Linked DNA regions of Coturnix japonica. The protein of the gene in region 4 binds, or shares a complex with, the protein of the main gene of each other region. Links are inferred from orthologs where the notes say so. Each region holds a gene or a part of one and is shown on either strand. Other genes may lie near its edges.

Region 1 (8,040 bases), about 11 Mb from region 4:
AGGAGCACAGCTGGACTTTTTTTCCCTGTTACAAAGCAAAGAAGCTTCATGCCATTGTGCTAAAATACATGCAATGTTCAACACTGTATAAAAGACCGCTGTAATAAACAGAGATGCTTTTTGTTTGCTTTTGGCTGGGACACCTCGCAATACAGAAAGCCTGACAAAAAAACTTCCACTGGCTAGATAATGTTTCTAAAATCTGATGACCCTCAAGGAAAAATAGTTATGCTCTAAGAAGGTAAAATGATGAGCAACACGTTTGATATTTGGATTTTTTTTAAGGAAAAAGTTCCACCTTAGTTTTAATATAACGAAATAATATATTTCCTATACATTTCTCTATATAACTTTATTTGCTTGCAACTACACCATCCTCACATCAGTCACAGCACAGAAACATCCCTTCCACGTGCAGGGAGTACCCTCAACTCAAAGAAAAACTCTCCAGAACATTTTTAAGTCACAGAAGCGTTACTGAGTTTGAACGCTATAAAATCACTGCCGCCGGGAACAAGAAGACATCTTGAAAGCAGCAGCTTCCCAAGGAGTCACTGCTAGAGGAAACACGCTTCACAGCCTCTCCACCCCAAATGGAAGATCATTTAACTGTGAACTCAGTAAAAAAGCAACGAAAGCAAACAGTTCCAAAGGTCAGCCTGCCTTTTCCAGTAACCAGCTGGTGTGCAAACTGGGATAATCTCTAACAGTTCTCTCCCCCTTCCCCTTATCTTGAACTTTCCGTTACTCTATGTCACAAAATTTATAGTTTTGCTTTTAGATGTACTTCATATACTTCTTTTTTTTTTTTTAATTATTTTTATTTCTTATAAAACAGTATAAAAATAAAAGCAATGGTGAAGAGCTACTGGTGAGATTATGCAGGGCACAGAGAACTAAAATCCTACGTTGGATACCAAGGGAAGGGCAGAACTAGCATTTGTGTGGGGAATAGGACTTTGAAAAAGACAGCAGTAACATCTTCATTTCAGGGCCTACAGAAAGCTGACTGACAAGGACAAGCACGGTGCTTTTCTACCTAACAATTTGCTTTACTTTGTAACAATACAAAGGATTATCTCAGGACACGAATAAGAAAAAGGAGCATGACTATGATACCACGTCAATTTAAATGCAACACTCTGAAACATATCACCAGTTTGTACATTAAATAGAGTAAAAACGATTTCCATTCACCAGTGTCTGGGTGTTTCTTATGGCAACTTTAGACTAGGCACCTTTTTTTTTCTTTTTTTCAGTTCTTTAAATTGTTCACCCCCCAGCATTACTTCTAACAAACAGAAGCAAGAGCGACATAATGTGTATGATCTGCTGCCCATCACATCTCGTGATGACGTTTCTTGCACATAGGAAGCGAGCCTTCATCAGTGCCTGCTGGTTGCTGTCACACATTGGAGTCTTCATCTGTTATACTGGTGCTAGGAGAGCGAGTTGCAAAGTCTTTAAACATTTCGTCCTCTTTTAACATGTGCTAGAAAGGAAATGAGGAAAGAGTCAAACTCATTTTACAGAACCAGAATTGTTATTCTACAGATCACAGTTTTAAGCCTTACTGTCAAGTTGTTGATGCCTTCAGAAAATGCTCCTATTTGCCTCACTGTCCCTTCTGAATCTTCCATCTGCAAAAAAAAAGATAATGGATAATGAATGAATAATGAATCCCCTGCATGCAGTGGCAATTAAGTTCAGCAAATAATGCAAATGCTTTATTACAGCCCACATACTCAGAGAGAGGGATGAGCGTGCCCTGTCAGGACAGAAGACAAGTTATGTCAGAGGCAGTCTTACAGTCTTACAGGCGCTGCATTCACAGCTTGCAGTTCTTGGGCTAAGACGTGTTTGTGTTTGTGAGTAGTGCTTTGTGACTGTCAAAACTGAGGATCTTCACAAGCCAAAGGAAAGGAAAGGTTTCACTGTGAAAGAGAGGCTTCCCACCAAATCTAACAACACAGTCAAGGACTATGAACAGTTTTACCTGCTCCAGCCTGTCCAAATCATCATCATCATATACTCGGATATCCAGGCCACCCTTGAAACCTTTCTTCAGTGCACTTCCAGAGGCCCTCCCCAGCTCCATAGGGCACACATACTCTTCCACATCATCTTGCTTCTTCTTTCTCAGGCTCCCAAAATTGCTGAAGGCAAGTTTCTTTGGCTTACAAGTGAAGAGAAAATTCACAAAAACTTAGAGTCGGCAAAGAAGTAAGAGATGTCTCTGCAGCCGGTGTTTCAATGTCAGCAAATGCTGAAGGGTTAAGACTACAGTGCTCTGCTAACAGCTTTCTCAATAGCTGTATTTCCAGATAACCACATCCATAAGAACAAGATGCACCCCCTCATTCCATCATTACTACAAAAATAACATTTAAAGGATCCCAAATGTTATCAGAATCCCATTGCACACAGCCACAAGCATATATACAGTAAAAGAACACCTCTGTCCCAAACACGTTATCGTACTGTCAGATGGACAGCCCACAAGAGTTCTATCTCTCTTTGGCACATATGAGGAGCTGAGATGTGGTGTGCTCATAGTAGACGTAAGAGTCAAACCCTTATCTGCTGAGTCCTGCTTTAATGTTTTTTTTTTTTGTTTGTTTTCACTTTAGCAGCTGACCCTGTTTCTCAAAGCTTACTGAACAGCCCTCCAAGAATGCATAAAACTAGTACGCTGGAGATCTAAATGTTTACCTAGCAGCTCACACACAAACCCAGAACAAGTGGCCTACCTTAACTTTGGCAGTTGCTGTTAAGAGGACATAGTCTGGGGACTCCATGGCTTCACGTTTCTGCTGCTGGGCCTCCTGCCCAATGAGGAGGTTGAAATGAGTGGCTAGGTGCCGTCGCAGCAGTGTCTTGTTTGGTGGGATGTTCAGCAACTGGGCCATGGTTTCTACATTGAAACGTGGCTCCAAAACCTATTAACAGAACCACAGAGTCCAGTTGAAGTCAGCACTGTTTGATAAGGTCTCAAGGACATTGATGGGGATGTGTGGCTCAGCCACTTCTTAAAGTTGCTTTGGGTTTTTATTTTAGAGAAAACATGCAATGAAGATGAAGAAAAAAGTTAAAGGATTCATAAAATGCTATCTCCAGCCCTTCTTTCTTGAGTTATAAATAGAAAGAAACTGGCACATAAGGAAGAGCTAAATTCATGCTTAGATCACATGATATGGAAAAGCTCTAACAAAATGTTTATCCACCATCCTCCTCAATTCTGGAAAATGTAGTCAAAGGAATGATGGAAAATAAACAAACATAAAATGTCTGGAAAAGGGATAAAGTTTCAACCACTCTGAACTTCTACATGCATAAGCCTAATGTCTGGAGCATCTATCTCATGCCAGAGAAATTAAAAACAATGCTGTTTTAACACTGATTTTCCTAAAGAATCAAGCCTTCCCCACAAAATAAAAGCATGTTCATGTGCAGGAAGGAAAATGGTGGTTGTGTAATAGCATGCTAGTATTGTAGGCTAGGAGGTAGAAAATGCCATTAAATTGTGAAGGGGACACAGGCAAACAAATTCACTGCTTTCCAAACAAACTTTGTCCAAGCCATTTGTGTCTTTTAAATTATTGGGTAATAAATATCGACAGCAACTTATTATTAAGAAGAGAAAGAAGACAGAAGTAAGTATCTGTGCAGCAAAGATTATAGAACTCATAATTCTCAGTCGCAATTTATTTTAAAGCAATAAAGTAAGCCTGTGAATATCTTACCATCAGCCCCCCATGCACACCACTCCCCCTCAGATTAGGTGCGTACTCTGCCAGATCAACAGAGCGTAACCACTCCATCACGCGGTGATTGGTCCACTGGGTGACCTCAGAAGGTGTGACATTATTCTGTGAACAGGAGGAACAGGCAGGTAAGGAGGCTTCCCAACACAGATGTCCCAGCCCCAGTCTATACTGAAACAAACCTCTCCTGCCCTTTATGCATATGATCCCACCTTGCTCTTGAGAGAAAAAAAAAGAAAGGAAAGATTTTCACTTTCTTTGGATTGCTATCTTGCAACAATACTGAAGTGGGACTGGATCAAAGATTCTGGAGCAGATGTAAATCGCATTTTCAACAGAAATCTTTTATTTCTGCACTGCATATAGTTTACAGCATTCTGAGCTCTTCACTGAGTTTCTTAAGCTGATTCTTCACTTAGGAGTTAAAATACTGACGCTAGCTGATGGTGACACTGATATGAAGCTACCTTTCTGTTACTTTCCTGTTCATTACAGGAAAAGTCTAAAGCCTTCCATCAAGGCAGAAGGGCTTGAAATCAGTCAGATTCAAGTACTGTTCACTCATAACAGGGTATCTTTCTAATAATTCCAAGCCAAGAGCTTATCACAGCAGCCTAGCTTGTGTTTATCCTACTGGGAAGCGATCATCTTTCCTGCTCTGCTTGCAGGATTGTCATGCCAAACAACACGAGCCGTGTTCCTGAGTGCAGTGAACAGGTCTGTATCATGTTTCATGCAGTCTGAAGATCTTGCTGCACACTAGGATTAGCTGTGATTTCTACGAGTAGAGCTGAGAGCTAGCTCCATGAGCTGGCGTTATTTTGCAGATATGCATTAGAATCTAAATACAAGACTCTGAGCTGCTTTATCATCCATTCCCATAGCTGGCATATACTCCTTCCAACACAAATCAGTGGCAGTTTCTTGTCTGATAAGACCAAACTTGTTTACAGAGAAAATTCTGACATGGCCACACACTTCACAGTTATACCAGCCTGACAGAAGCTGTGCACCAAGTTTGGGACTATTTATTTTGAAGAAACTACATCAAAGACTAAGGACAGTTGTTAGCAAGAAGGAATGTGAGATTTGGTAAGGAGACATGACCTTGGGGCTGCAGCAGGTGAAGGAAAAATCAGTTGTTTTCCAGGTAGCCTCAGTAGGACATGAAACTTGGGAATAAAATGACAAGAAAGAAACCAAAGCTGACACAAAATAAAATAGGAAGCAGCCAATATGAGAGGAAAGGGTAGAGGAGAAATAATCAGAAACATAGGGAGAAAACCATACAGGATTTCTTCTTCACACTTTTATCTTGAAGCAGTACCTCATCTGATGGCCTCCTGCGCAGACAGTTGGGCTCAAAGTTATTTATTCTCAGAACCTGGATGGCTCTTTTGATGCTGAGGTGGTGGAGGACGCTGACAACCTTCAAGGACAGCAAGTCATCCTGTGGAAGAGGAAGGAGGATTTAATACACACGAAAGCACTTAGCAGTGGAACCAACACACAGCTTCCTCAGCAGCTTTGGACTGTGGCTTAAAATGTCACATCTAGTATATTCTAGAATTTAAATACATGAGACAAGGGATTAATGTCAAGACATCCATCCCGTGGGTGGCCTGGAGCTCACCTCTACAACAAGGCACTGTAAGGCATAACTGCACAGCCAGGTCATTTTCAGTAAGGATGAATCCCTTCTCACATATGGCTGGGCAAGAGCATTGCACAATACAACCCTGCACTCCCCCCTGTAAAGCATCAGTGATACTAACAAAAGCAGCCAGTTCTTTCTCTAAAATCTGAATCCTCCCAATAACTTTTACTTAAACATTAATCTCACAGAAGAACTCATTTTACAGCTCATACAGATCAGCTTTTCAGCTCCCACCAGCGTTCACAGAAAGAGTCAGACATCTCCCGAGGACAATTTCTGCCACATCAAGGAATGCCTCACACAGCCTGTTCTCCCTGAACCAGTCACAGCCTTTGGCTGGACCAGGAGCTTTCAGATGTTGAAAGCTGGGAAGGGCTAGTTTCCCCCTTCGCAATTACAGCAGCAATTAGCAGTTTTGCTCTGGCTCCATTACACCTCCTTGGTCTCAGAGCTCCTTTAAATCACTGAGAATTGGGAGAGAGACTTTTGGCAACCAAGACAACTTAACTCACATGGACACACATGGTGAACAACAGCAAACAAGACACTGTTTAGACAAGGCTCACAGGTTACTAAATGCTGTTGGTACAACCCAACATCCTGACCTGCTGACAACTTTGCAATATGTGCAATGACACATTTTGCCTCTCTTTGGTTTCACTCCAGTATCTAGCCCCAGAAGTGTAGCGTGTCAAAACCAAAACAATCAGATTCTCTCTCATTCACGGAATTCAGGCATGGGAAATGTTTACAAAGGATTATGTACCAGCCTGGCGAGACTTCCCAGATCATCCAGATCTGCAGCGCTAGGAAGGGCTGCAAACAAAGAACCTGCCCTACCCTGCAGAAGTGGTCACATGCTGTGAGATCTGCATTCCTGCTAACTTCAGTTATAACTTAATCCTTATTATGTCACTAAGTGTCTCACAGTCTGGTACTTTGTTGGTGCAAGTTGGCTGACAAGTGAATGTACACATCTTCATGCTGGGGTTCATCTAGACAGCTATGTGTTAACACCACTTGTGTGCTACAAACAGCGGACTGCTTCATGATTTTGTCAGAATAAGTGAAGATTAAATTCTTTGCTTGTCCAAACAGTTCATTGCTTTTGGCTAACTTTATGATGAACTTAAGATTAGAGTTTCTATTTCATGTTATTTCATTATTTTAGTTTGAGTAAAGGTGAATTACCACGCGGTTTTTAGAAGTTTTCTTTCACACTGCATACACTTGTACTTAGTTGACTATTTACATAGAATCTGCTGCTGGAACTTGATGGTTAAACACTGTCTGAAAAAATTCCTACTGACCTAATTTTAAAGGAAACTGACAGAGAGAGTTATCTAGTTCAAAGGCAAAGCTCCGACTGCCTATCCCTCTTCTGTCCACCCATCAGATTTCTTTCTCTTTTCGTAGAAAAAAAAAAAGACTAATGTGTAGAGTAAAAAAGAGTAACGTGAAGATCCTTCACATTGCTGCCTATGCTGCATTTTACCAACACTCAGTGCTCACCCACTCAATACGGTGACAAAGCTTCCCAACACAAGATTAAGCTCAGCAAAACCTACTGGCATCAGATCTCCAAGATTTAACAGAAGAAACAAGATGCCTCCTACTTTTATACTAACATGCAGATTCAATAAACTAAAGCCAACAAACATGAAAACTCTATGTAAGCAACAAGTACTACACATTTGTCTGAAGTGCACTAAACAGCAAAATGACATCAGGTAGTCAATCCAATGTAAAGAATATACAAAACACAAGCAAATATGGCATAAAATAATAACTTTTATACAGCCCATGGTGTGACTGATTTCTTCTTTGTTACAAAGAAGGAAATAATATTTGCAATGTTCAGTTTTCATTTATATCTCCAGAGAAGTACTGGTTGGCTACACTTGACAGGCAGTAAAGCGAGGAACTGACAGCGTGCTGTACATTTTTAAATACATAATGCAAGTGTTAATAATGAATCCTGTTTTCAAACAAGCTGGCTCTTAAAATTGCAATACTCTTCAAAGAAAGCTGCTGTGGTTTTCTTATGCTAGGCATCCACATGAATAGATAACTAAACAACCTTGGCTCATCGAGAAGAAAAACATTCCACCTACTTCCATTAACTGACAGCAATCTGAACAGTAAAAAGCTGCATGAAATGCAACCACAGCATTTGCATACTTTTGTGTGCTTACAGATGTTGCCTGAGCACGTCAGACAATGTCACACACAGGTCTTAAGCACAAGATTGCCTGCTTCTCATTTACAAGTATGGACTTTTGCTTCCTATTTGCTCTTCTACATTAACAGTGTCTGTAAAGATGGAAAGAATGCAGGAAATACATGCAGGTGAGTACTACTGTCAGGACTTCTGTTTACTTTGGGTTACATTAGTTTGGCACAGGACACTCACTACAGTTTCAAGCAGTCCTCTAAACACTCTGATGTAGCATGCACAAATCCAGGATCCTGAAACATCTTTTCAGCATTAAATTGTCTCAGACTCTCTCAACTCTCCTGATTTTCTCCCTGCAATTAGGCAGAGAATTTCCTTTCCCAATTTATGAACTGTGGAAGCGCTCTGAAAACAGTAGCATCTCATAAGACATGTTTAGCTGT
Region 2 (7,341 bases), about 27 Mb from region 4:
GCAAATCCTTCAATTAATGGATCAGCAGTGGGACAAAGCCTCACTCTTCCAAGAGGAGAACTGCAAAGCACTGAACAGCTCCTTATAATCAGCATCATCATAGAATCATCATAGAATCACAAGGTTGGAAAGGACCTATAAGATCATCTAGTCCAACTGACCTCCCTTCACCATACCTACAGAAAACCCTTAAACCATATCTCCTAGCTCCTTATCCAGACACTTCTTGAACACTGCCAGGGATGGCAACTCCACCACCTCCCAGGCAGGAGGCTTGTCCCTTACTAGGTGGAACCTCCTCCACAAGCCTTTCCCAAACCTCTTGGGACCGGGTCAGGGCTCATGTAACTCAGTGCCAGTGACAGCTCTGCTCTACTGAAGCATCTCCTGCCAACCCACACCTTCACAAAGTTGTGATAAACCTGTTTGCAAAAGAAGCCCTACAAATAATGTCATTTCAAACAGGCCTGCTTGACAGCTAGAAGGTGCAAGCCGTTAAACAGAAGCTATTCTAGACAGGATCTACTGCAGTGTATTTTTGATTACACAATATTCCACCTTCAGGAAAAAAAACATGTTTTATATTTAAGGATGAAATACAACCTGTGGTCCATCTGTAAGTTCATCCAGTACAGAAAGAACATCTTTCCTCCACTTCCCAATTGTACACTCCTCAAAGTTCCCCTGTGAACTTCCACATCCTGTATAATCAAATCTGAAAAACCAATCATCAAAAGTTGTGGTACTACCTACAACAACACAGAAAATAAAACTCAGCAGTATTGCTGAACACAAATTAAACAGAGCTTGTGTACAGAACAGCATGCACTACAAATCAAACACCCAACTCAACATATGATACCTATTTCATATTCTCAAGAACAATGTACCTGACGAAGGCATGACCTTGACAGCTGCAGAAATCTTCAAGGGCAATTGCTTTCTGACCATTCATATTTGACTGGAAGCCTGGAAGGAAAATAACCCCTGGATTCCTGCCTTTCAGCTTACGGTAGGCTAGATTTGGTCGATCAGGTCGAGTAAGAAAGCTGACTGACGACTTCCACCTGCAAACTAATAAAGAGAGGTATGAAGTACCACCACTAAGACAGCTCTGGCAGAAATAATAGCATTTTATAAAATGAGAATTCAGGAAATATATGTATGTTATGTGAAATTACAGTACTTAGGCTCAGGAGAAAAGAAAAACAGAAGTGTCTTCTACATTCTTCAATACTGTAATGTAATGATTTGAAGGTGCTTAGCAGTAACATCAGTCACATGCTGACTACTGTCAGTAACACTGAAAATTAGGGTGATAAGCTCTGAGTCAAGATCCTCAGCACTGTTTCATCTTAACAGCACTTAGACACAAAACACAGGAGGTTAAAAAATCAAGCTGTGTTTTCTGTAAATACAAAAAAAAAAAAAAAAAAAAAGTATTAAATACAAATCATATGGAGAAAGAGTTGACTGTTGTGGAAATATACATTTCTCATGCATCTCCTAAAGAGGCAAAGATCTGCTGAACTCAGCAGCCAGCTGTACCTCTACTGTGGATGAAGATAAGTGGTTTGTAGAGAGGCGTTACAAGGAATTAATCCACTCTATTATCCCTCTCAGCAAGATAACGTGTTAAACTGAAAGCTTGGACAAGACTTCTGATAAGACTCTAACCCTCTTAATCTTTAAGATTAGAGGATTGTACGTCGCACACTCCGCTCTCAGGTAACACCCCCCGCCCCTTTTACCCCTGGCAGCTTTCCAGCCGCTCTACCCCAGCGGCAGCAGTGCCCAAAGAGTGAGACCCCGCACCAACACACCCGCCCCCTCCTCCTCGCGTTTCCTCAGGCAGCGGAGCGGCTCCATTCCCACCCGGGGCCCCTCCTTACCCGGGAGCCCCAGGGCCGCACTGAGCAGCGGCAACCCCAAAAGCGGGACTGAGGTGCAGCCACTGCACCGCCGCAGCCCCAAAGACGCCGCCATGTCCGCCTCCACACGCATGCGCCTCCGCATGCGCTCCATGGGCTGCTGTGGTGAGCGGGTGCTGTACGTACCTCAGGGCTGCCCATCGAGACCTCTCATCTGTGAGGGAGCAAACAGCTCCTGTCTGTTTAGTTTTGCCCTCAAACTCAGCGTACGCCCCAGTCCTGCATCCAGACACCATCTCTACATCAAACCTTTCCCTTACAGATAAAGCACTTAATGCTGTAGAAAGGGGTGTGATTCAAACGGCTTCAGGAGCATCACTGGTTCTGTTGGATTCCAGAATATCAAACGAAAGCATGGGAACCAAACTAAAGAAAAGCGTTCTTTAGTTCTTTAGTTCCCAGTCTGTGCAGGACTCTCTGCAGGCAGCAGGGACAGCAGCACCCGGCTACAGGTGCATCAGTTGGTAGTTGATAGACTGATAGCTCTGGAAATAAGATGTTTGAATAATAAACCTTCTCATTTGTCACATCCTTTTAGTCCTTCACTCATACATTCATTTATTTAATTAAAATCACAGACTGAATTTGAATTTTATCTCTCAGAAGGGAGTTGGAACAGCGGTTCTAACATCAAGGTAATGGTTTTCTGTTTCAGTCGGGCTCTAGATAATTAGCCATAGAGAGTGAAAGACTGGATGATGTTTTAGGAATGTGAAAGTGTGCCTATACATCATAAAGCAAGGTGGCAAGATGGCAGTTAGTTGGGATGTATGGGAAGCTGTGGGACCACACAACATTGCTTGCACAAGCGTATAAAATAATGAGAAGACAAGCAGAAACACATCAAGAATCAAGCGAGCATTTAAAAGTGTGTTTTTAAAAACATTTATTGAAATGCCTTCATTGCATCATGCAGGATACAAAAATCATGATTAGAAAACCTTTATAACTATGCTAAGAAGTAAAATCAAGATACGTCAGGGAAAAATAATAATTACAGATACCAAAGGAATTTATTCTGATAGTGTTTTTAAATGGTTGGATTATAAGCTGTGATCTGCACAGATGATAACAGTTACCTTGTGATAACTGTCCCTTCTTTCATTGATTCCAGTCAAAACTGACCGATGTCATGCTAGCAGAGCAACCCATATCACCTGTGTGTATCACACAAGGAAGAATGCATCCCCTTCTTAACAGACATGGGAGTACAACAAAGATATTTTGCCAGCAAACTTGTTTTGCTTTCAGTTTTTCATCTGCTTCATCAAAAGCCATTAGCTTTTCATCTTGGAAAAGGTCTAATGTGCTTTCTCTTATTACACAAATTACATTGCACAAGTATTGACTACTGAAATAGAACCTCATTAAAGTCAAAGAATAAGAGACTTTCTTGAAGTTCAATTCACTTAAGTTTTGCAATATTTCTCAAGGATTTGGAAATTTTAAGTGATTTTTAAATAGGAGACCACTGGATCCTCCTTATTTTCATTGTTTTAGGAACCTCAATCCCCAGTGCTTAAAATTTTCATGCTTTTTCATCCATACGCTGCTCAGCGTAAACCTTCAGAGCCAGTCTTTCTATTTTAATTCTGATAGCATTATTCTGAGTAGATACACTTTTCCTTGGCTAAAAACAAAGAATTTGGACAGGTAGATACTTCAGTCTTTGCTTCATGGAGACCAACAATTGAGGTTTCAGCAAAGTGTTTGTTTGGCACAGAGAACGTTCAGAACCACATCAGGTGGGACTTGACTACATAAAATCGCTGCAGGGTCCAGAATCAGCTCAGTCCATTCAGCACAGAAGATGACAAGAGTCCTCCTAATGACAAAGTTAATCTCTGTTTCCATTTCGTATCCTTGTGGATAAATCCATCTGTATAACACTGTCCTTTTCTTGTTGAGCTTCATAGATACAGACTTTAAACTTAACAGTCGGTATCACCGGGTGGTTTAACATAGTTGTGTAAAAATGTAATTGCTTTACAAGTCACGAAGAGTTTTGGCACTGTCCCCTTACAGGAAGTTAAATACAGCTAACAATCTGAAATATTACAATAAGGGAGTCATATAACTCTTTGGCTCTGTTGTAATACTTAACTACTAAGGCAAGAACTGTGTGTACCTTAGGGCAGCTGTTTAATTCATACTTTCATAAAATACTTGACTAAAAGTTTTTTAAAAGTCACCTACTCACCTATAAACATCAATTGCTGCATATTAAAATATATGCTATTACACTTTTTTGTTTCGTTACTAGAATTTCTGCATACCGATGAGAGCACACGCATTCGTCAACTGTTGATGAAGACGTTCTCTGTTTAAGAGAACTGGTACAAAATCAGCGTTGAATCCAGATGTTGTCATGTTAAGTGGCCGGTTTATTTGTTTTGGAGCACTTTGACTTTCTCAACAGCTTTAGCTCTTTTGTCTCTACAAAGATCAACTAAAATAAGTAGCAAGTCCCCCTTTTCAATGCATTTAGAAAACCCTTCCGTTCCGAGGCTTTGGCTGCACATCATAAGGAGGATATTCCAGAATGTTCACTGGTATTTTATGTGGCTTTTCAGATTTTACTACATATGGCTAACTTCATACGTTAACGTTATTGCAGTATGCCCTATTGCCCCATTTTGTTATAACATGAAGTGGGTGTAGCCTTCCGCGCCCGTAACAATAACATCCATCCATATCCTCATGGCTTCCGGCGTAGGAGCGACCATGTAGTATATTCGGTCATGTGTCTTAACACTGAAAGTGAGTAGTGGGTTGGGACTCTAAAAAGAAGAAAGAAGCAGAAAGGAGGATGTCAAAACAAAGAAAAATCAAATTGGCAACAGAAATAAGATTACTTACATGGAGATTTAGGGCAGGGTTAGGGGAGAGAAAGGAATCGCATCCTACACTGCAGCACTGGGAACAAAGATGTGTTCATAGCATATGCATCCAGTATAAATGCTTTAATATTTCCATTAGACTATCACACAGCAATACAGGCATCCGAACTGCTGCTTCATGCCCAAACAAGTCCCCTTGAGCAGGGATTATGTCCAGTGATCAAAACTGCTTTGGCTTTCACAAATCCACATATTAAAGATAATCAGATTGTTCATATTCAGACTGACATCTCAATTACAGATGTGACCAGCAGGGAGCACGTACCTCCCTCCCTATGGTAGTCACATGCAGCCACCCCTTACTTTGCCAGAGCTACTGATTTTAGTGGTCTTGGCAGCAGATGATGGAACTCCTCACAGCAGATGCCAATGTGGGTCCATCATATGGCAGGAAGGCTCTCTCTTATCTCTGCTTCACTAGTATAAACAAACAATGCTTGTCACTGCTCTGGCCTCATCTTCCTTTGCCTCCACTTTGTTTTCTGTTTGTTGTTTTTATAACGTCAATTCCCTTTGATTTTACTGCAGTTACTATACTCAGAGTACTGCCATATGATTGATACTCGGTCAAAATAACAAAGCTTACCTTATATGCATTCTTTAGATGATCGTAATAGACCTCTTCAATAGCTTGAAAATAAATTACACCTTTTAATTTAGTTTCGTGTTTGTCTGAAATGGAAAAGAGAGAACAGCTCTTGAAAACTGAAATGAATGGTACTTCAAGAGGCAAAATGTTATTCTGCATTTTCACACACGTTTGGCAGGTAAGTAACTGGATTAACACTTCTGCTTGTGAAATACCCCAAAATCTTTGTTCTCAAGAGATGCATTTCCTGCTTGCTCTTCTTTTCTGTCCGCTTTCTGAGGAAATAAGGCTTTTGCAATTCAACTGTTTTCAAGGCAGACCCTCACTGAAGCAATTAAACCTTTCAGCCAGGTTTCAACCTGGGATGCATCCAATCTTCCACTTCCAAGAAAACCAGACAGGCTTCAGATACTACTGAAGTCTTACAACACAGCTAGCAGACTAAGGTCTACGGTTTTCCTTCAGAGGAACACTATGAAAAGCAAATTTGAAATACAGTTTGACAGCAAAAGCCTTACATTCAGTTAGCATTTACTCTTACAATTTAAAATGCTTCTTCCTGTTATAATTCTCCCTATCTTCTGTATCTTCTGTTTTACTGCAATGTTAAGTATTCCCAGAGAGTGTCCTGGAGCAGCAGAACTGCATTCAATACTGAAGGGAAGACTTCCTCCCATGCTCACTACTCTTGTACACGGGGACTGTAATGCCTTGTGATGCCATGTTAGTATCACCTTAGCACTGACCAAACAGAAGATCTTAATCAGTCACATGAGAGATTCTGCTGTCACTTTGAATGCTTGTGGCCTCAGCTTAAATCCTATCAGTAGCTGCCATCAGTTTCCAAAGCTTTAGATGATTAATAGCAAAAAGAAATCCCAGAAACCAAATGACACTGTGCTGGGAATCCCCCTGACAGCCCCCAAGAGAGGACGTTGAAAGTACTGAGCTATAAGACCATGACATTATAGCATATGCTATGAAAAGCTAAATACAAGACTATACAGCAAAATATATTATTTATGCAGCACAGGCAACTGCACTAGATTTTCAGATTTTAGGGCAAGTGCTCGGTTTAGTAGACTCGTAGAACTAAAACAACCTACCAGTACTTAGAATTCAATTACACTGAATTTACAGCACCAAAATTTATATTGGAAGTCTACTGTATAACTAAGGTCTGGGCAGGTCGTCACTCATAGAAGCAGCTGCATTTTTGCTTAGCTGGTACAGAATTCTTATCAAAGTGTTTGTTGGGTCCTTGAGACTTAGGAGAAGTTTTCTTTGGTAGCTGAAGTTGCATTATCATTTAACATTGATCCTGCAACCTACCTGCATAATACGTAAAAGTTCTCTTGTTTCTGTCAAAAACAAACCATCGTTTTTTCCACGTTTTAATTTTCCCTCCCATCTTAATCAGAAAGCCTCGGCAGGTCTTCTCTGTGAGGGAGACGTGGTAGCAGGTCTCTATGTTGTGACCAGCTGTTTCGATATGACTTCGTAGATCAAAGTCTTCCTTTCTAATGGGCAAATAGCGAGTCAGTGGACGAGCCTGAAACGAAGAAAAGAAAATCTTATTATTTTAATGGAAGCCTTCACTTCTCTTTCACTCTTTCTGCTACAAGGAGATAAGTGTCAACTGGCCGTACATTCTCACAATGAAGATATCAGAAAGAACCTTTAAATATGACTATTAAGAAGTGTATGGAACTTTATAGAAGTGGATTTAGAGCATGGAAATTTCTTGAAATCATCAGTTGATAAGCTGGCAAAACGGAATGGCTGGTTTGGAGTATGAATTAAATGTGAAAGGAGTGTTACTCCTTTAGATGGATTGTGAGAACTTCACTGGCATGAGGTTAAGCAAACCCATCACCTCCCTAGGCTAGAAGTATCTACATTTAAGTATGATGGTATCTTA
Region 3 (8,040 bases), on a different chromosome or scaffold from region 4:
TTTAGTTTTGGTTTTTTGTGGGGTTTTTTTTTTGTTGTTTTTTTTTTTTTTTTTGGTTGGCTTTTGGGAAACTTAAAATGAAAATCTGCTGTTACAAAATCATTTGCAAATGAGAGTTGATTCATAGGATCTAGTGATGAGAGGCTTTGCAAACTCTCACACCAGGTACTCTTAGTGACAGGAAGGCATCCGTTCTGCATTGTATATTACCATAAATGGCAGTTACACAAAGCATGTTAGATATACAGTCATTCTTCAGTATTTTTATGCTTTTTGGAAGTTTTTTTATTAAAAAATTCTGATTTTGTTTTTTAAATTGACAGGCTGAAGAGAGGCATGGCAATATAGAAGAGCGACTGAGACAGATGGAAGCACAGTTAGAAGAAAAGAATCAAGAACTGCAGAGGGTACGATACATATTTTTGGCACAGAAACAAAGCTGAAAGTCTGATTCTCTTCATGTTTTTCTGTCATTCAGCAAAGCTAGTTTTGTTTCTGCTCTAAAATAAACCATTGTTCAGGCTGACTTGTAGTTGGGAGATCTGAACCACTTTGTATGGTTAACTTTCAGTCTCAAAGAACAGGTGAAAGTCTCTGATCAATTTGAATGAAGCTTGGAGTTACCTCATTGCTAATTATACTTTCTGATGAGCAGATCAGAAACCTTCCTGAAGTAACTGAGCATGCAAAAAATGATTTATAGGTTATGAATAATTAATTGCTTTTGAAATCTGGTTTGCTTTGAAGTGTAAGCTCAGACTTTCAAACTTCTTATCTTGAATGATCATTGCAATCTTGTGTCCCTTATACTCCCTTGCAGAATCTTGGAGGTACACACAGTATTTCTTATCCCTTTGGAAAATTAATTTATATTAAAGGAAAATGTAGATTAAGGAAAGCATACTGCTTTACAACCTGGCAATATTATAGACATTGTAAATTCCAAGTTATTTCAGTAACTTTGTCATAAGAATTTTAATTTTTGTCGTTTATCTTAGGCTCGGCAGAGAGAGAAGATGAATGAAGAGCATAATAAACGCTTGTCAGAAACAGTGGATAAGCTACTCTCCGAATCTAATGAAAGGCTTCAGCTTCATCTCAAGGAAAGGATGGCTGCCTTGGAAGATAAGGTAACCTTAAGTCACATTCCAGCATGTTTGTTGATTAGATAATTCTGTAGTAAGTTCTGTATTTTGTAATGTGAAGTATATTCTTAACATGTCTTTTTTTGGGGGGCGGGAAGGAGGTATGCAGGATTGAGATCACATCTGTTAGGATGCTTTATTCTTTCTTAGTTGACTGGTATGGACTGCATAAATAGGCTTTTCCAGGGTAATACAGGAAGTTGGAGGAATTAGGACTTGAACTGTGACCCTTTCAGTTCAGATTCTTTTTATTTCCCACAGCTTTTGTCTTTGGTTTTTCAAAATCATTGTGAGATTCTTGCAAGCAGAGACAATCATGTGGCTTTGTTTTTTTGTTTCCCCAGATGGACAGGTTATACAAATATAATGGAACTATTCCTTGTGTTGTCAGTGCACGTGTCAGAGCCTTCTCCTGTATTTAATTCCTCTTTAAAATTTCTATGTATTTACCTTAGATTTCTTTCTGCTTTTGGAGCTAGGTCCTTAAGGATTTTCTTTCATGCCTGTCTTTTAAAAAAAAACAACAAACAAGTGTCTTTTACCAGTAGTACTTCGTTGCTAAATTGCTTTGTCTTGGGTTAGTAAACAGTTAGTTTCTTGTAGGAGGCTGAGGTGACCATCTGGAGAAATGCCTCAGTAAAAGCTGAGTGGCTTACAGTGTTGTATTCAGGCTTCAATGTGTGTTTACTTTCTCATGGATTCATGTTAACTCAGTTCTTATCCCTAAACCTTTGGGTATTTTGAGAGTTGTAGAACTGCCTACTCCTCAGTTCATTAGAAATTCAGCTTTTTCTTTTTCCTTCTTTTGCATTCTCGGGGGTAAGAAAAATCAAGTACTGTAGTACAAATGTAGGCACTACTGGTTCTGGTCTTCTGGGTTAATGGTGAAGATGCTTCCTGTGTGATCATAGAATGATTTGAATTGAAAGGGAATTTACTTGTCCTTGCCATGGACAGGGAAGTCAGTTGTCTGACATGTAAGTCTGCAAACTTTTCATTCTAGCTTTTAAGATCACTATTTTCAAGATCACCAGCTGCTCCCAGTACTTCTGACTCTTGTTATGGGCCTTACTGTTAAGGTTGCTCTGACAGTTTTCATACATTTGATTTCTGAGAAGCAGCTGATGGCTTTTTTTTTTTTTTTTATGGTCAGTGTTGGGAGGGATGTGTTAGAGTTAACTTGAAACCGCTCTTTACTCCTCAAACCTGGACTGCATTCATGAATAATGAGAAAATTTAGCTGTCCCTCACTGTCAGCAACAGCTTCTAGAAAAGTATTGCCGCAACTCATTCTTCTGTGATAAATTGGAAAGAAACACGCATATAAAAATTTGAGTACTTTCCTTCTAATCATTGAAGCTGTTTTCCCAGAATGATTTGTTTGTTCACTTACGAAAGCTTATGACATGTTTAAAATGCAAATAGTGGTATTACTCATCTCAAGGAAATGCGTTTAGCAGAACTTTTTGGCAACTTTGAAAAGCAAAGAATACATGAGGTGGTTATAAATTTAGTATTAGAAGGGGGAGTTTTTTGACTTTGGTTTAAAATCATTTACTGTGGTCATGTTAGTTTAAAATCTTTTTGATTGTTGTAGCTCTCGGGTGATTCTTAATTTGAATTTGGGAACTACTTTCAACAGATTGTAGTAGTTGTAAGTGTCTTTACTGGAGCTATTTAAAAGTTGCAACATAATTGTGAAGAAAACAGCTCTTGCGTTATAGTAATTTTGTTAATCAGACAAGTGAAAACAAAATGAAAATTCAGTGATGATAGCCAGTAGTACCTTATTAACCAAAACACTGAACAAATTTAAAGTTCTTTAGCTGCATAGTTATTATTTGGTGTCTTTCTTTCTTGATCAAATAAGGTATTTGTATTGAATTGGATATAGAGTTTCTGCTGTTAGTAAATCCATTGTTTACAGGGCTGCATATGTAAAAGGATATGCTTTCAGATGTGATCAAAGTGAAACAGCAGGAGCAGTAAGCTGTCTGGTAAATTAAAATACATCTGTAGAATATGACCAAAGTTTGTTAGTAGCTCTTACTGGTTATGGTTTAGGAGTGGTAAGCTTTTATAAATAACTTGTGATATGTTTTGTTTTAGAATTCACTTCTTCGAGAAATTGAAAATGCAAAAAAACAAATAGAGGAACTTCAACATGAGAAGGTATAATATGTATTTCTGCAATGTTACATTGGAAAATAATTGCTGTGTTGCCTCATAGCAGAAGCAGATTTGGCTTACCCCTTAAAGCTCAATATTATTAACACTATTTAGTCCAAAAATACCAATTTTGTGGGCTGGTGTGCTTTATTTTATATTAGTTTGCTTCAGTTTTGTGATGTTTTTATAGATAATATTTTTTTTCTCAGATGTAACATATATATATATATATATATATATATATATATATATATATGTAAAGTGTATAACAAATACATGCAAAGAATATGCATGGATATATTAGCAATTTGCTGAAGTTTAAAAGATTACATAGCATTTTATTTTTTTTTATTGTTTATACGTAAAACTATGAACAGTAAGAGAAAAAAAAAGAAATACTTTAACAGTTGGTATTTTCCCCTGGATGTATACTTGAAGCAGTGGATGTTGTAAGATGCCTGTTTGATAAAGCTGTCTTAAAATTCTGAGAGAGATGTTTATTAGACTTAGTTTTCAATAGTGACTGGCCCTGTAACTGGCAAATTCACTTCTTGAATAATAGCATTGGGGCCTTTCATTTCGCTTCCTTAAGCAGTGATGATTCATTTTATGATCACCTTGTTCTGAAATAATACTATTGCTTATTAAATCACAGGCGTACTGCATTTTCCCAAATCATTTTAGTAAGTAGCTAGGCCAAACTATTAGGGGCTGTGATTTTTGTAATAAAATGAAGAATATATTCAGAATACTTTATGGGATGTGCTTTGAATTTTTATGTAGGCCACTAGTTTTCACACAAGGCACAGATGTTTATCATCAGCCACTTTTCATAGTCTTTTATTGTTTTCTCATTTATTGCTTTGCTTTGTTCAATTCCAAGTTTTTGCAGCATTTATGGGTGCTAGAGTTAAACGTGGATGCTTTTAGGACTTGTTTTTCACATTGTAGAGAACCAAGAGTTATCCTTGGGGGCCCTTTTGTTATGGTGCTGCACTGTGTAGCAGTAATCATTTTGGTTATGTGTTGTTCAAGGCTGTTTTAAATCTGGTTACATTTGAGTTTCGTAACAATTAGATCAATGGACTAAGTATTAGCTTATAGATTTAGGATATGAGGCTGAATTTTTTAATGTATATTGTTACATATTTTCTATCTTTATAGGATAAACTTGTCTTAAATATTGAAGCATTAAGGGCTGAAAATGACCAAGTGAGACTGAGAGCCACGTCTCTTCATCATAGGTACGAGCACTTAATTGTAGTTCAATTATTTTTTTTCTAATTTCCTGAAAGGAAAAAAAAAAAAATCCATCCTTTACCTATTATAAATGAAAACACTTCAGTTGTAGCTATAAAACATACTTTATAGAGCAGATAATGCAGCTAATACACCACTTCAAAAAAGAAAAAAAAAGGCTTTACAAAGCCTGGGTACAATAAAAATCGTTGGGGTGGGTTTCTTAGTTTGTTTCACTCTTCTCCTCATCTTGCTAATGGTAGTGTTTCTTCCTGTCTTAGCCGACCAGATTTCAGATACCCTATGACATCTTCATCTGTGGCTGACAGTCATGCAGACTCTTATGGCACCTCTTCTGTGCTGAGGCGTCCTCAGAAAGGCCGTTTGGCAGCTCTCAGAGATGAGCCTTCAAAGGTAATAGAACTCTGAAAGGAAGTGACAGCAATCGAGTATTTGGCAACAGATTAAATGAGTTGAAGTTAACCTGTTGCAAGGAGTTGGTGGAATAGGATTACACAACATTAAAAGGGCTGGATCTTTTATATGGAAATATGTTTTATTATGTGCTTGCTTTTAGTGAAGCAGAATATCTAATACACAGCTACTAGGCTGTATAATTTTATTTCAGACTGCAATTTTAGGGCTGTAAAGTCCAATTTGCTTTAAGTATGATAAATCTGTGCAATATAATATGAAAGAGTCTTTCCTTTGTGTGTCTGCACTTTAGATTTCAACTTTGGTTCACTAATCTAACATTCACCGTCCTACAACCAAGTCTTGCAAGTTCTCCTTTTACATAAAGCTGATTTGAACGTTTTCATTGTGTTTGTTAGCAAAAATCTGTTGAGGAAGTATATAGCCAAGATAATGGTGTTTTAACTATTGGGTCTGGCTGTTTTAAAACTGTACTTATCCATAAGAGGCCAAGTATCTGCATCATAGCTTTTTGTTTTATGTTTCTCTGAATATCACTGTCTTTATAGATGCATTCCTCAAGCAAGTGGACTTTAAAAAAAAAAAAAAAAAAGGAAATTTAAACACCTTGAAAAATAGTAGTGTATTGGCAGTAACTATGCTGGTACTAACAAGAATAGCAATTACAAGGAAAATGGTGGAAATACAGAAGGTATAAGGAAAAGGGAACTCACCAGAGCTGAGGTGATCCTCCCTGGTGAGCGATCTCCAAGAGATGCTGCCTCAGTGAGGGTCAGCCCTTAAATGAGGTCTCAGAGGAGGTGGAGTCGAACTCCACCCCTCCAGGGAGCACAGCTACATAACTTTCACCTGTGCTCCCACAGCTGACCCCACACTTGCCTCAGCTGATTAATCAGTGGTTCACACTGTGATCTCCCATACAAGTAGAAATATCACTTTTCATATCTGAGATTTTGTTTTTAATTCTCTTTTAACAGGTTCAAACTCTGAATGAGCAGGACTGGGAGCGAGCTCAGCAAGCAAGTGTATTGGCAAATGTGGCACAAGCATTTGAAAGCGATGTCGATGTGTCTGATGGTGAGGATGACAGAGAGACTATTTTCAGTTCAGTTGATCTGCTGTCACCAAGTGGTCAGGCTGATGCTCAGACTTTGGCCATGATGCTTCAGGAGCAGCTGGATGCAATTAACAAAGAGATTAGGTATGGCATATTTGCTGCTACATTTTTACTGAAAAATTATGTGTGACAGAAGAATTCCTTTTTATACAGTTACTCACAGAATTGTTTGCTCATTCACTTTCCTTTGAGGGACTGGGAGAGTGGGAATTGATGAACAAACAAAAAAAAGCATGGAGTGCATTTGACTTAAGTATTCCTTTCAGGTCTTCGGTCTCATTTGTGGAAGGGATTGTATTGCCAGTTGGGCAAAAACCCCTGCATGGTGGTAATAGTTGTAGTATTTACAACCTCTTTTCAGATTGGATTACCAAATTTTCAGTGCAGTTGTTTTGTCTGTCAAGTGCCGCTGCTTTTCAAAATGCTTGAGTGGGCCGTTCTCATTATATGGTACTTGTATGAATGCTATGTTCCTTTGGAACCCTTTTTTCTTTTAGGCTTATACAGGAAGAAAAGGAAAACACAGAACAGCGTGCAGAGGAAATTGAAAGCAGAGTGGGTAGTGGGAGTTTGGATGCCCACGGACGATTCCGATCCATGAGCTCCATTCCTCCTCCCTACGCAAGTGGTTCCCTTGCTGGTTCTTCCCCACCTGGCAGTGGTCGCTCCACCCCAAGGCGGATTCCGCATAGTCCAGCTAGGGAAGTGGACAGACTAGGTATCATGACACTGGTAAGTATTCACTAACTTTATTTTTCCAAGGTGACTGTTCCTTTTCTGTAGGAAATGCATTTGATTCTCCCCTTCCTCTGCTTCTTACTTAACTCTATTTGTCCTTTCTCTTTTTATTTCTGCTGTGTCCTTTCAACTTCTGTAATAATGATAATGAATGATTTTAAAAAAAAACAACAAACCCCAACAAAACATTGAGAACTCAATTCTACTGGTCAGCATCTCACACTGAAGTATTCCTTTTGCTATGATTTTTCTTTGTTACTCTTCCTGGAAGAAATGAATGTATTCTTTTTAACCCTCACTCCAGCAACTAGTTACTGTCTGTTTTAAACTTTACTTTTAGCCATCTTTTTTTTTTTTTTTTTTTTTTTTTTTAAAGCTAAATATTCAACTAAAGCTTAATTTGCACATCTTACTTACATCTTGAAGTTTGCACGATGTCACAGCTGTGATAGCATTGAGTGCTGGTTCCCTTTTCTTAGCCTATTAAACATGTTGGTAAATATGTTAGACTTAGAGGCTGGTGTAGTGGCAGCTTGGTCTTTGCAGTTCAGTGAACAGAGAAGGATGGATATACATTCTTTTGACCCTCCTACAACTACTTAGGGAAATTAATCCTTCTAGGAGGTGCTTGATGCAATAAGCCTACCTGTTAAAAAAAGAAAAAGACCAGTTTTCCACCTTTATGTTTATATGACTTTTAGACAAGTCTGTCTCCTTAATATACTCCTCAGTGAAACATGTTCCATATGTCAGAATTAAAAGAATACTTCTCTCTATAAACATTACTTTGTCTCCAGATTTGGAACCAGTACTTAATAGTTTTATGTGCAATATAATGGTTACTACATTTTGTCTTGGATTATTGCACTTGTCTCATGTCTGTAAGACTCAGTGGACAAGGCATGCTAACCAACACAGCAATGGCAGGTAGACTGCAACAGATTGATATATCTAATCTAGGTCTTTGCTAGGAGTTTAAAAAGGAGTACTTCTGCCACCTATTTTTCCAGCTTTTTGAAATGAATATGTAATAATTCTGTGTGTAACGCAAGGTTTTTTTCCATTAAAAAGGATCATTTGCCATTCTTGTATTTTAAAAAAAAACCACAACAACAGAGATTGTTATAACAGCTCAGATTAAGAATCCAGAGTCAAGCACATCTTTATTTTGTGTAGATTAAGGTGTTTCAAGCGCTG
Region 4 (8,655 bases):
ATGCTAAAAATGCTGCTGTGGCATCCATTGAGAACTCAAAACAATTAGACATTGCCGAGACACTACGTAAATTCTATTCAACTGAGAGCTTGTGTTCACAAGGATTCTCACGAGAATTAACCCAAATCAAAACACTTAACTCATCTGCTAGAAACTCACCTCAATAAATCACTGCCAACACTCATTCACTTCAACAGCTTTCAGTAAGTTTTAACTCAAAACAAAAGATTACACGTTTTATTCCATTTCGTTAAAGCACTTTCCCCTCTGAAAGCATTAAGTTTAAACGATGCTAAGAACACAATAAGGCTGCATGCAGAAGTATCACCTAGTAAGTGCTTAAGGACACGCAAGAAGCACACAGTCACGAAGCCAGTTTCAGTATTTTCACCGACACAGAAGCCTGTCACAGTTGAAGGGAAAAAGTCACGCGGCAAGATAAATCATTTTTACTGCTCCTTCGGGATTGTTTTCCAGCTGTATTCATCACTGGCCTTTTCATTTTAGTGCCGTTAGGAATCCGGCAGCAGACACAGATATTAAGACAATTCACTCTAGGAAAACCATCTTTCATCCTGGAAATAGCAAAGTGAAACAAGTGACAGAAATGTCGCTTCTTGTCTTCAATCAGCAAGATGAAAGTTCTAACTTCTTTCCAGTAATGCAAGCAGAATTACATGGAAGACTTCTTTCATATAGCAGCATAAGCAGAAAAGCTACAGTTCTTCAATGTTCCGAGCCACACACTAACATTTTGCTAGGAGTCTCAGAAGTGCAGCTTCTTATCTTCCCAAAGTCCAAAATAACACTATTTATTTTCTTCCTCCGCTACGATTCTAAATTTACTCACAGCTAAACCATCTCTTTACCTTACGGGACAGTTGAAACCACAGGGAACAGTGTCAAACTGTGACCTGAACGCACTGACCATTCTGGCTTTGCAAATTGGTTTTAAAAACCTTCAGTCTTCTCTGTCAATACAAGAAGCCTTCCCTGTGATTATGAGGAAGAATTATAAGCTGTAGGTGTTTAAAGAATTAATAATAGAAAAAGCCATCTTAAAGCACAGTGATGCCTCCTGTGTCAACCAGCAGCCATACGCTTAGTCCAGAAGAATAAACTGCCCAGTAGCACCGATCCATATCTGCATTAGAAGAGCTTTGAACATCAGCTCTACAGCAGCAACAAAATCAGTCTTTACAAGAGCAATCTTCACCTGATACTGCAGCGTAACAGAAACATTGAGCTTCATTTACAAGGGTATTCGTTTTTCATAATTCATATCCTAATAGTTAATCAAGACTGACTGGATTATGCAGAGGGACCTGGACTTTCTTGTACAAATGCCAGGGTTGAAATGACTTTTTTATAAAGAATGTGGAGTATCTGTCATCTTGTTTGACTTGCAGGCCTGGAAGGTATTAGTTTTATCTATCTGCTACATTTGACTTTTAGCTTTGGGAGGTTAAAAAGCTCGCCAGTTTTCAAGGCAAATTAGTGACTGCTACACAGAAAAAGGGCAGAAGAAAGTTTATCTTGGAAATTGTTTTCAAGCCACTCAATGCTGAATACACAGCAATGAACCCATGGAATTCAGACTTGTTTATCCATATAAAATAATCTTTATCCTCATGGCCTGAACGGCAAGAAAGCAAAAGCAATTAATGAAACTAAGACAGAAAGAAGACCAAAAAAGTAACTGTTCATGTTATGTTTGACTCTCATCCCTAGATAGTGGATGTCAAAGCACCAACATCTGTTTATGTCCATGCCTGTTTATAGTTATTTGTTAAGTTTACCAACTTGAACACCTGTCAAGCTGACTGAAGGTAACACTGCCCTTGTTCTGTCCCAATAGACATAAGATGGATGCTTTATCCCCCACCTCTCTGTAGACAGAGAAGTCTTCCTGAAAGAAAAAAACCTCAAAAGTCACTGAGAATGTGGATGTGACATTTTGGAAGCTGTGTCATATTAAAAGCAGGCATCCCTGAACTCTGACCCTGACATTCTAAGGAATAATCTCAACAGCCATTTATTAAAGAAGGGTTTTATTTCTAAACAGAAATTGACGCTCCTGTTCCAAGCTTTCCAAATTTGGAAAGTGAGCATTAGTGGTATGCATGCACTTTAAACCACCACACAACACAGAAGCATTCTCATTATCTGTCCTTTATAGATTTCGTTCTGTTTCCCATTCTTCTCCTGCATTCTTAGAAGATGTAACAGATTAAACATGAACCAGAACTACTCACCAGCTTCCTAGGATACTTATGCCTCTCTCAAGCATAAAATTCCTTGCACGAGATCTATTTGCTCCCCAGGCAAGATAGGAGTAGAATGACAAAACACGCTCTGCTCCATAGCAGCTTGTTTGCAAAAGAGGTTTCAACTGACATCAGGTTTTGTTTCTTATAATTCCACTAATTACTGGATATAATAAAGGCACGAAGGGGTATACATTCACCACCACAGTTTCATTCCTTTATATCACTGACTTTGTTACAAGGTGGCAGGCACACGGAAACATCATGAATCATCCTTAATTGCACCCTCAAATCATCAACCATTTGGGTTTACCAGAGGTAGGCGAGACCCAAGGGTCCCTTCCACATACATACACATGGGCTTGGTGGGCACATCAGGGTTTGCATTGGGCAATGAATGGGAGCTGACTCCTCTAAATGGAAAGCAAACACGAGACCGAACCAACAACATTTGGCATGTGGTGTTTTTTTCCTTTATAAAAAAAGACGCAAACAAAAGCAGCAGAAGTCACAACATGCACCTAAATTTGGTAGTGACAGAACAGCTCCCATTAAAATAACTATTGCTCTTTAAATTACACAGAAGGTTGAAGACCTGCAGACATCAGTTGGCTGTCAATGAATGGCTGAAGACTTTGTAGCCTGACTTTTAGAGTACAGTACATAAATACTGTGTGCTTAGTATAGGGCTGTTTCTCCCTTTCCCCCAGGCAGCATGTGACCAACAACCCACTTCCCAGTAGCACAATCAGGAAGATACACAACCCTAAGAGTGATAAAGGTGCTTCAGAAGCCCAGAAGTACATAGAAACACTAATGAAGCTGCTCAGGCAGACAGCCTCAGCTCACCACAGGTAACATCGCTGCCTGATGCGGTGTGCTCCTTCACTAAAGTAGCAAACATCCCCTTTCTTGAACCAGGTGCTCCTCACCTGAGTGCTCTGACAGTAGGGTAAGAGCCCAACCTTGTAGACCAGGTAAGTACAGTAGGGTAGAGCCAGACCTTGTAGACCTATTAGCAGTTTCCAAAGGGCTTTGCCAACGTAGCAAACAACACAAGAGATGCATTTTGGAGAACACATTCAAAATAGTTTGATAACGGGGAAGGGTGAGGGGACAAAAAGTGTTATCACCCAGATAACACAAAGCCAAACAGGAAAAACGGCTAAGAGCCTTAAGAGTGATTTCATTACAGCTACACTGGTTTGCTGGGCAATGTGGAAAAGTTCAAACTATACCAAATATTATGACAAACTCATGTTTTAGCCAGCAGATCCAGACCTGTTTCTAGCTGCAGCTCCCTCCCCTTACAGCTTGATGGACTCAGACAATTCTGTATTTCTGGGTGATGGAGTGAAATCAGAAACCTGACTATTCAGGGAACTGCTGTTCTGTGCTGAAGTACTGAAGTTCAGTTTCCAGAACTGAAATATAGTCAGGACAGCAATCTCACTTACTTAATAATTAGTGGTTTAATCCCAAAACCTCATTATCGATAAAAAATGATTATTGCTTTACCAACTCCTCTCACAACAGCACAAGACAAGGTGACAATTTTTCTCTTCTAATCTTGTTTGAAGGGTGCTGACTCATATGCGACCCTGAACTGGGGCACAAATCTCAGCTTTATCAGCCTTGAACACAAGATACCAAAACCTTCACAGTGATCTGTCAGGTTGTGGGCTGCAGGAGCTCAGGAGAAGATATATGTTCCTGCTGTCGATGCAGTACCCTCTGGGAGAAAAGGAGGGCAGGCAGATGGTGGAGGTTACTGTTCAGACATCCAAACTGGGTTGGCCATCTTAATACAATCAGAACCCTGCAGCCAAACTGGACAACTTTTTCCTGTTACAACCTGTTGGTTTGGAGGCAATGTATTATTCAGCGACAATCACCCCACCTACCTTCACATGCCCCCCCTGCCCTGGAACAAGCTTCAATAAGATGTAAAACACTGTTCTCCTCACCCATTCTATTTCTAGGAATCTGCCTTTATTCTCTCATCTTTTATGCTTCTGCTTCTCCCTTAGCTCCGCAGACATTTCTTTCTGCTTTCCCGTCTCTTAAACCTCCCCATTTCCATCAGGGTTTTACCCAGAACATTTCACACCCCATCAGCACGAACCACAACACGGGCTTCCAAGTCGCACGTAAAACCCCAAGCAAAAGGCATCGTGAGCCTTCATTGCTGAGGTTTAAGGTTCACGTCAGGAACGAGACAGATGTGGAAAGCCAGCAGCTCCCGACACGCGCTTCAGGATGGCTGCAGATGCAGAAACAAAGCATGATGTCAACTGACACTCGGCGCTGTAGTAGGTTCCGTGGGATGAACGCGGCATGCCCAGAGGTGGGGCGGAAATCACAGCTCGCCTTGCTCGGGGCAGAAAGGCGGCCGGCACCATTACCTTGCTGATGGCACCGAGACAATGAAGGCGGACGCTTGGCGAGGGCACGCTGACCAAGTAGGGGCGGATCACGATCGCAAGGAAGAGAAGCGGAGCCCCACGGCCGCCCCACAACCACCCCCCTCCCTGAGCACCACCCGGCGGGACGCGCCCCACTCCCCTCCGACCGGACAGCGGGGGCAGCCGGGCCCGGGGGTGCTGCTGCCGCCGCCCAACACAGCACAGCACAGCACGGCACGGCACAGCCCAACCCAGCACGGCACAGCACAGCACAGCCCCGGGCGGTGACAGCGCGCTCGAGGCCCACGGAGCGGCGAGGCCCCGCACCCCTCATCCGCCCCCCCAGCCTTCCCCCCGGCCCTGCCGCCCCGCAGCCCCCCGGGAGCGAACCGGACCCACCTGAGCGGCTCCCGCCGGCCACCAGGCCCCACCGCAGCCCCTGCCCAGCCCGGCGGCCGCCCGCAGCTACCGGCTCCCGCAGGCCCCGCCCCGCTCCTGGCTCCCCCCAGCGGCCGCCGAGCGGCGCCGTCCCCTCCCGCGGCCCCCATTGCCCAGCGGGGCCCCTCACCTGCCCGTCAGCGCCGCGACCAGCTCGCTCGCCTCCTCCTCCTCTCCCTCCCCCCCGCGTCCCCTCACGGCCGCGCGGCGCCCCGCCTCCCCCAGCCGGCCTGCCCTGCCCTGCCCTCCCCTCCGTCTCCGCCCGCGGGATGTTTGTCCCTCTCTCTCGCCGTAGCCTCGCCCGCTTCCACCGCCCCATTGCGTGCGCGGGAGCTGCGAACGGCGGAGGAGGAGGAGGAGGAGGGTGTGCGGCCTGGATGCATCCAGGTATGGCGTCCAAAGCCCCTGTCGGTGGGGCCGTACGAGTTCATTCCTTTGAGCGTTTAAAGGTAGATTTAGAGTAGGGCATTTGTATTGCTAATGTGTCAGCACTGCCCTGTGGCTCTTCTGCAAACAGCTGATTATCTATCCCAGCGTTAACGTTTGAGGCGAGTTAAGTGAGGAACCAGCCTTCATGGCATCATCCGGCTCGTTCTCACCAGCTGTTAGAATAAATAGTGACTCAGGATGTAAAGCAGCACAGCCGAGTCACCATCGGGTACGTGTTGGGTGCTGACTTAGAAAAGGGTGCCATCTACTGAGTTATTGGCACAGCATTCATGGGTGTCTACAAGGAATAAAAACACATCATTTTTACCCGTTCAGTACTTAGAATAACGACTTACAACATGTTAATTGCTGTCTCTGTTCTTATACAAGAGCAGAACAGCACATCTGCCTTTGGGATGAAGCTGATTGTCATTTCTGCCCGTTTCTGTCTATTGCACAGTATAATGTTTTTAAGAAGAATTTGAGCTGCTGTAAAACAGCATCAGAAAACAAATCTCCAGCTGGTCCACAGACATACGCACAGAAGTATGAATGGTATCACTGTATTGTCCAATATATTGCAGTATATTGTTATACTTAGTGTGCAGTGGACTATCGTGATGTGTTTTCTTATGGATAGTTGACTCTTATTTTCAATAATGGTATTTTCTTTGGTCTTTAGGGATGCCTGCAAGGCAAGGGAAGGACAGTGAAAGCCATGTCAGCAGCAGCAGTACCAGCAGCAGCAGTTCAGTTGCTTGTTTCGGACAGGTCAGTTCCCTTTGCCTGAGAAATAGAAGTTCCATTTTTGCATTACTGGAAATCTCCTTCACATATCTGCTCATTGTAAAGATGGATACAGTTAGGTTAGAGTCATAGAGCGGTGATGTAATACTGGAGTTATCTGAAGGACCTTCCCTGCAGTAGGGGAATATGCTGTACACTCCTCAGTAATGATCTAATTAGATTCATCACCCTGGCTGTTGTCCTGATGGAATGTGGTGATAAACTTTGGTTTAATTTGAGTTTTTAAAGACTTTTCTTGTGAAATATTACGTATTAGTTTTGAGAGATCGGATATAAATGTGAATGTGTATTCCTGGCAAGTTTGACTAGGATTATGATTGCATTAAGATTTCACTAGGATACTACCAGACCTGCCTCATTTAACTTCTTTTATGTAAATGATGGTTATGAGAAATGGAAAACATTTTCTAGAGCTTAATGATGAATAGAATCATAATTGGTTGGAAAAGACCTCTAGGTCTGGTCCAGCCATCCACCAGTCACCAATGTCTCCCGCTAAACTGTGTCCCTAAGTACTACATCTACCCTTTCCTTAAACACTTCTTGGTTCACACACTGCTGGCTCATGTTCAGCTGAATGTCAACCAACACCCCCACATCCTTTTCCTCCATGCAGCTTTCCATCCGCTCTGCCCCAACCTGTAGCATTGTGTGGGGTTGTTGTGACCAAAGTGCAGGTCTCAACACTTGGTTTTGTTGAACTTCACCCCATTAGCCTCAGCCCACTGATCCAACATGTTCAGATCTCTCTTTAGGGCTTTCCTAACCTCAGGCAGATTGATATTTCTCCCTAACTTGGTGTTGTCTGCATATTTAGTGAGGGTACATTCAGTTCTCTCATCCAAATCATCATTAAAGATATCAAGGACAGGGAAAATGGGTTTATGAAGTAATATTAGGAGAGGAGGGATAGCTAATATGGAAAGAATGAGAAATTTTGTTTTACTTTGTTTCCATCCAGTATCAATATACAGCAAATGAATATCAAGCCATCCAACATGCTCTTCGTCAGAAACTGGGCCCAGAATATATCAGCAGTCGGCAAGCTGGAGGAGGACAAAAGGTACGAATAGATACATAGATGAATAGATACATAGATGAATAGATACATAGATGAATAGATACATAGATGCATAGATGTTTTAACTTGCATTTTTTTCCCCTCAAGAGAATTATTAAAATAATAATAATCCTTATTTTTTAAAATTATGTTCTTATGGAAAAGCCACTTAACTTTTCAGTGGTTCTTCCTACTTGTGGAAGGAACATTGAGATGTTTTTCTTCTTCTAGAACTGGAGTATATGAATCATGATGTGACATTAGCTCAGTTTTACTTCTTTATTGCCTGCTAGCTCTGCTCCCCTTAATTCTGGCATATTCATTCAGTTACCCCCATCACAGTTGTCAGCAGATGGTGAACCTAAATCTGCATCATCATTCAATTATCTTGAATTTAGCCAGGTTTCCTCAGGGCAAGATAATCTATGTAATCTTTCTTTAAAGTAAAGAGTGTGTGTGTGTATGTGTATATATATACGTGTATGTTTCTCTTCTCAGGTCTGCTACATTGAAGGTCACAAGGTAATCAGTCTGGCCAATGAGATGTTTGGCTTCAATGGCTGGGCTCATTCAGTCACTCAACAGAATGTTGGTAAGTCTCTGATTGGCATAAAATAAGTCTGTCCATATTTTACACTATGATGACTTGAAGGAAAAGTTTCTCAAAAAGGTTCCGGACTGAGAGTCATGGATTAAGCCTTGTGCAATGTTTCCCAAATCAGAGGCTTCTGATAGATAATAGGAAATAAGTTGCTTTTATAGCCAGTTGAGGTTCTTTTCCATTGTTGTTTCTATAAACTGATAGTTTAAATCTTTACTTCCAGCTGAAAAAGAATTGTTACTCTTTAAACATATCTAAGATATGTATCTGAATGAGGAGTAATGTTTACAACTCTAATTTCTTTCATACGTAAGAAACTGATCTGGGTGGATCAGAAGTCTTTTGTGTTATTTAGGATGCTCCATTTTATCCCCTCAGACTTTGTTGATCTCAACAACGGCAGGTTCTATGTGGGGGTCTGTGCATTTGTGAAAGTCCAGCTTAAGGTAAGTGGATTTTTTGTTTCCTCTGTCTGTAGCTGAGCAATTGCATAAAGCTGGGAATGAAAGTAATTAGGCCAAACTGTAGTTCTCAGGAGTAATGCACTACACCAGAGAACATAGTGGAGTCTAAAACATTGACCTTGCTACAAAGCATCCAGCTAAGGGCAAGTTAACAGGCTTAGGAAAGCACAGCATCTAGCAAGGA

Evidence for each region.
Region 1: ERC1 (region 4) and PPFIBP1 share a complex: the UniProt entries of both Homo sapiens proteins name them as parts of the cortical microtubule stabilization complex. The link is inferred for Coturnix japonica from reciprocal best matches to the Homo sapiens genes ERC1 and PPFIBP1.
Region 2: ERC1 (region 4) and PHLDB2 share a complex: the UniProt entries of both Homo sapiens proteins name them as parts of the cortical microtubule stabilization complex. The link is inferred for Coturnix japonica from reciprocal best matches to the Homo sapiens genes ERC1 and PHLDB2.
Region 3: ERC1 (region 4) and PPFIA1 share a complex: the UniProt entries of both Homo sapiens proteins name them as parts of the cortical microtubule stabilization complex. The link is inferred for Coturnix japonica from reciprocal best matches to the Homo sapiens genes ERC1 and PPFIA1.

What each region holds. Positions count from the first base shown.
Region 1 is NC_029516.1:62,767,929-62,775,968, reverse strand, and holds part of PPFIBP1 (liprin-beta-1), read right to left. Parts: intron 5,215-8,040; coding exon 5,092-5,214; intron 3,870-5,091; coding exon 3,744-3,869; intron 2,940-3,743; coding exon 2,751-2,939; intron 2,177-2,750; coding exon 1,997-2,176; intron 1,641-1,996; coding exon 1,575-1,640; intron 1,493-1,574; coding exon 1,406-1,492; 3' UTR 1-1,405. UniProt on the Homo sapiens protein: May regulate the disassembly of focal adhesions. Did not bind receptor-like tyrosine phosphatases type 2A.
Region 2 is NC_029516.1:79,413,896-79,421,236, reverse strand, and holds the end of PHLDB2 (pleckstrin homology-like domain family B member 2), read right to left. Parts: intron 6,973-7,341; coding exon 6,753-6,972; intron 5,504-6,752; coding exon 5,418-5,503; intron 4,712-5,417; coding exon 4,571-4,711; 3' UTR 2,801-4,570; downstream 1-2,800. Other genes in the region: ABHD10 (mycophenolic acid acyl-glucuronide esterase, mitochondrial), read right to left, coding at 604-715, 891-1,074, 1,893-2,025. UniProt on the Homo sapiens protein: Seems to be involved in the assembly of the postsynaptic apparatus. May play a role in acetyl-choline receptor (AChR) aggregation in the postsynaptic membrane.
Region 3 is NC_029520.1:6,944,885-6,952,924, reverse strand, and holds part of PPFIA1 (liprin-alpha-1), read left to right. Parts: intron 1-323; coding exon 324-407; intron 408-998; coding exon 999-1,130; intron 1,131-3,254; coding exon 3,255-3,317; intron 3,318-4,478; coding exon 4,479-4,558; intron 4,559-4,834; coding exon 4,835-4,967; intron 4,968-5,965; coding exon 5,966-6,189; intron 6,190-6,602; coding exon 6,603-6,837; intron 6,838-8,040. UniProt on the Homo sapiens protein: May regulate the disassembly of focal adhesions. May localize receptor-like tyrosine phosphatases type 2A at specific sites on the plasma membrane, possibly regulating their interaction with the extracellular environment and their association with substrates.
Region 4 is NC_029516.1:52,075,293-52,083,947, forward strand, and holds the start of ERC1 (ELKS/Rab6-interacting/CAST family member 1), read right to left. Parts: upstream 5,328-8,655; 5' UTR 5,241-5,327; intron 5,172-5,240; exon of another isoform or gene 5,072-5,171; intron 1-5,071. Other genes in the region: DNA repair protein RAD52 homolog, read left to right, coding at 5,380-5,497, 6,222-6,310, 7,308-7,409, 7,905-7,998, 8,386-8,453. UniProt on the Homo sapiens protein: Regulatory subunit of the IKK complex. Probably recruits IkappaBalpha/NFKBIA to the complex. May be involved in the organization of the cytomatrix at the nerve terminals active zone (CAZ) which regulates neurotransmitter release.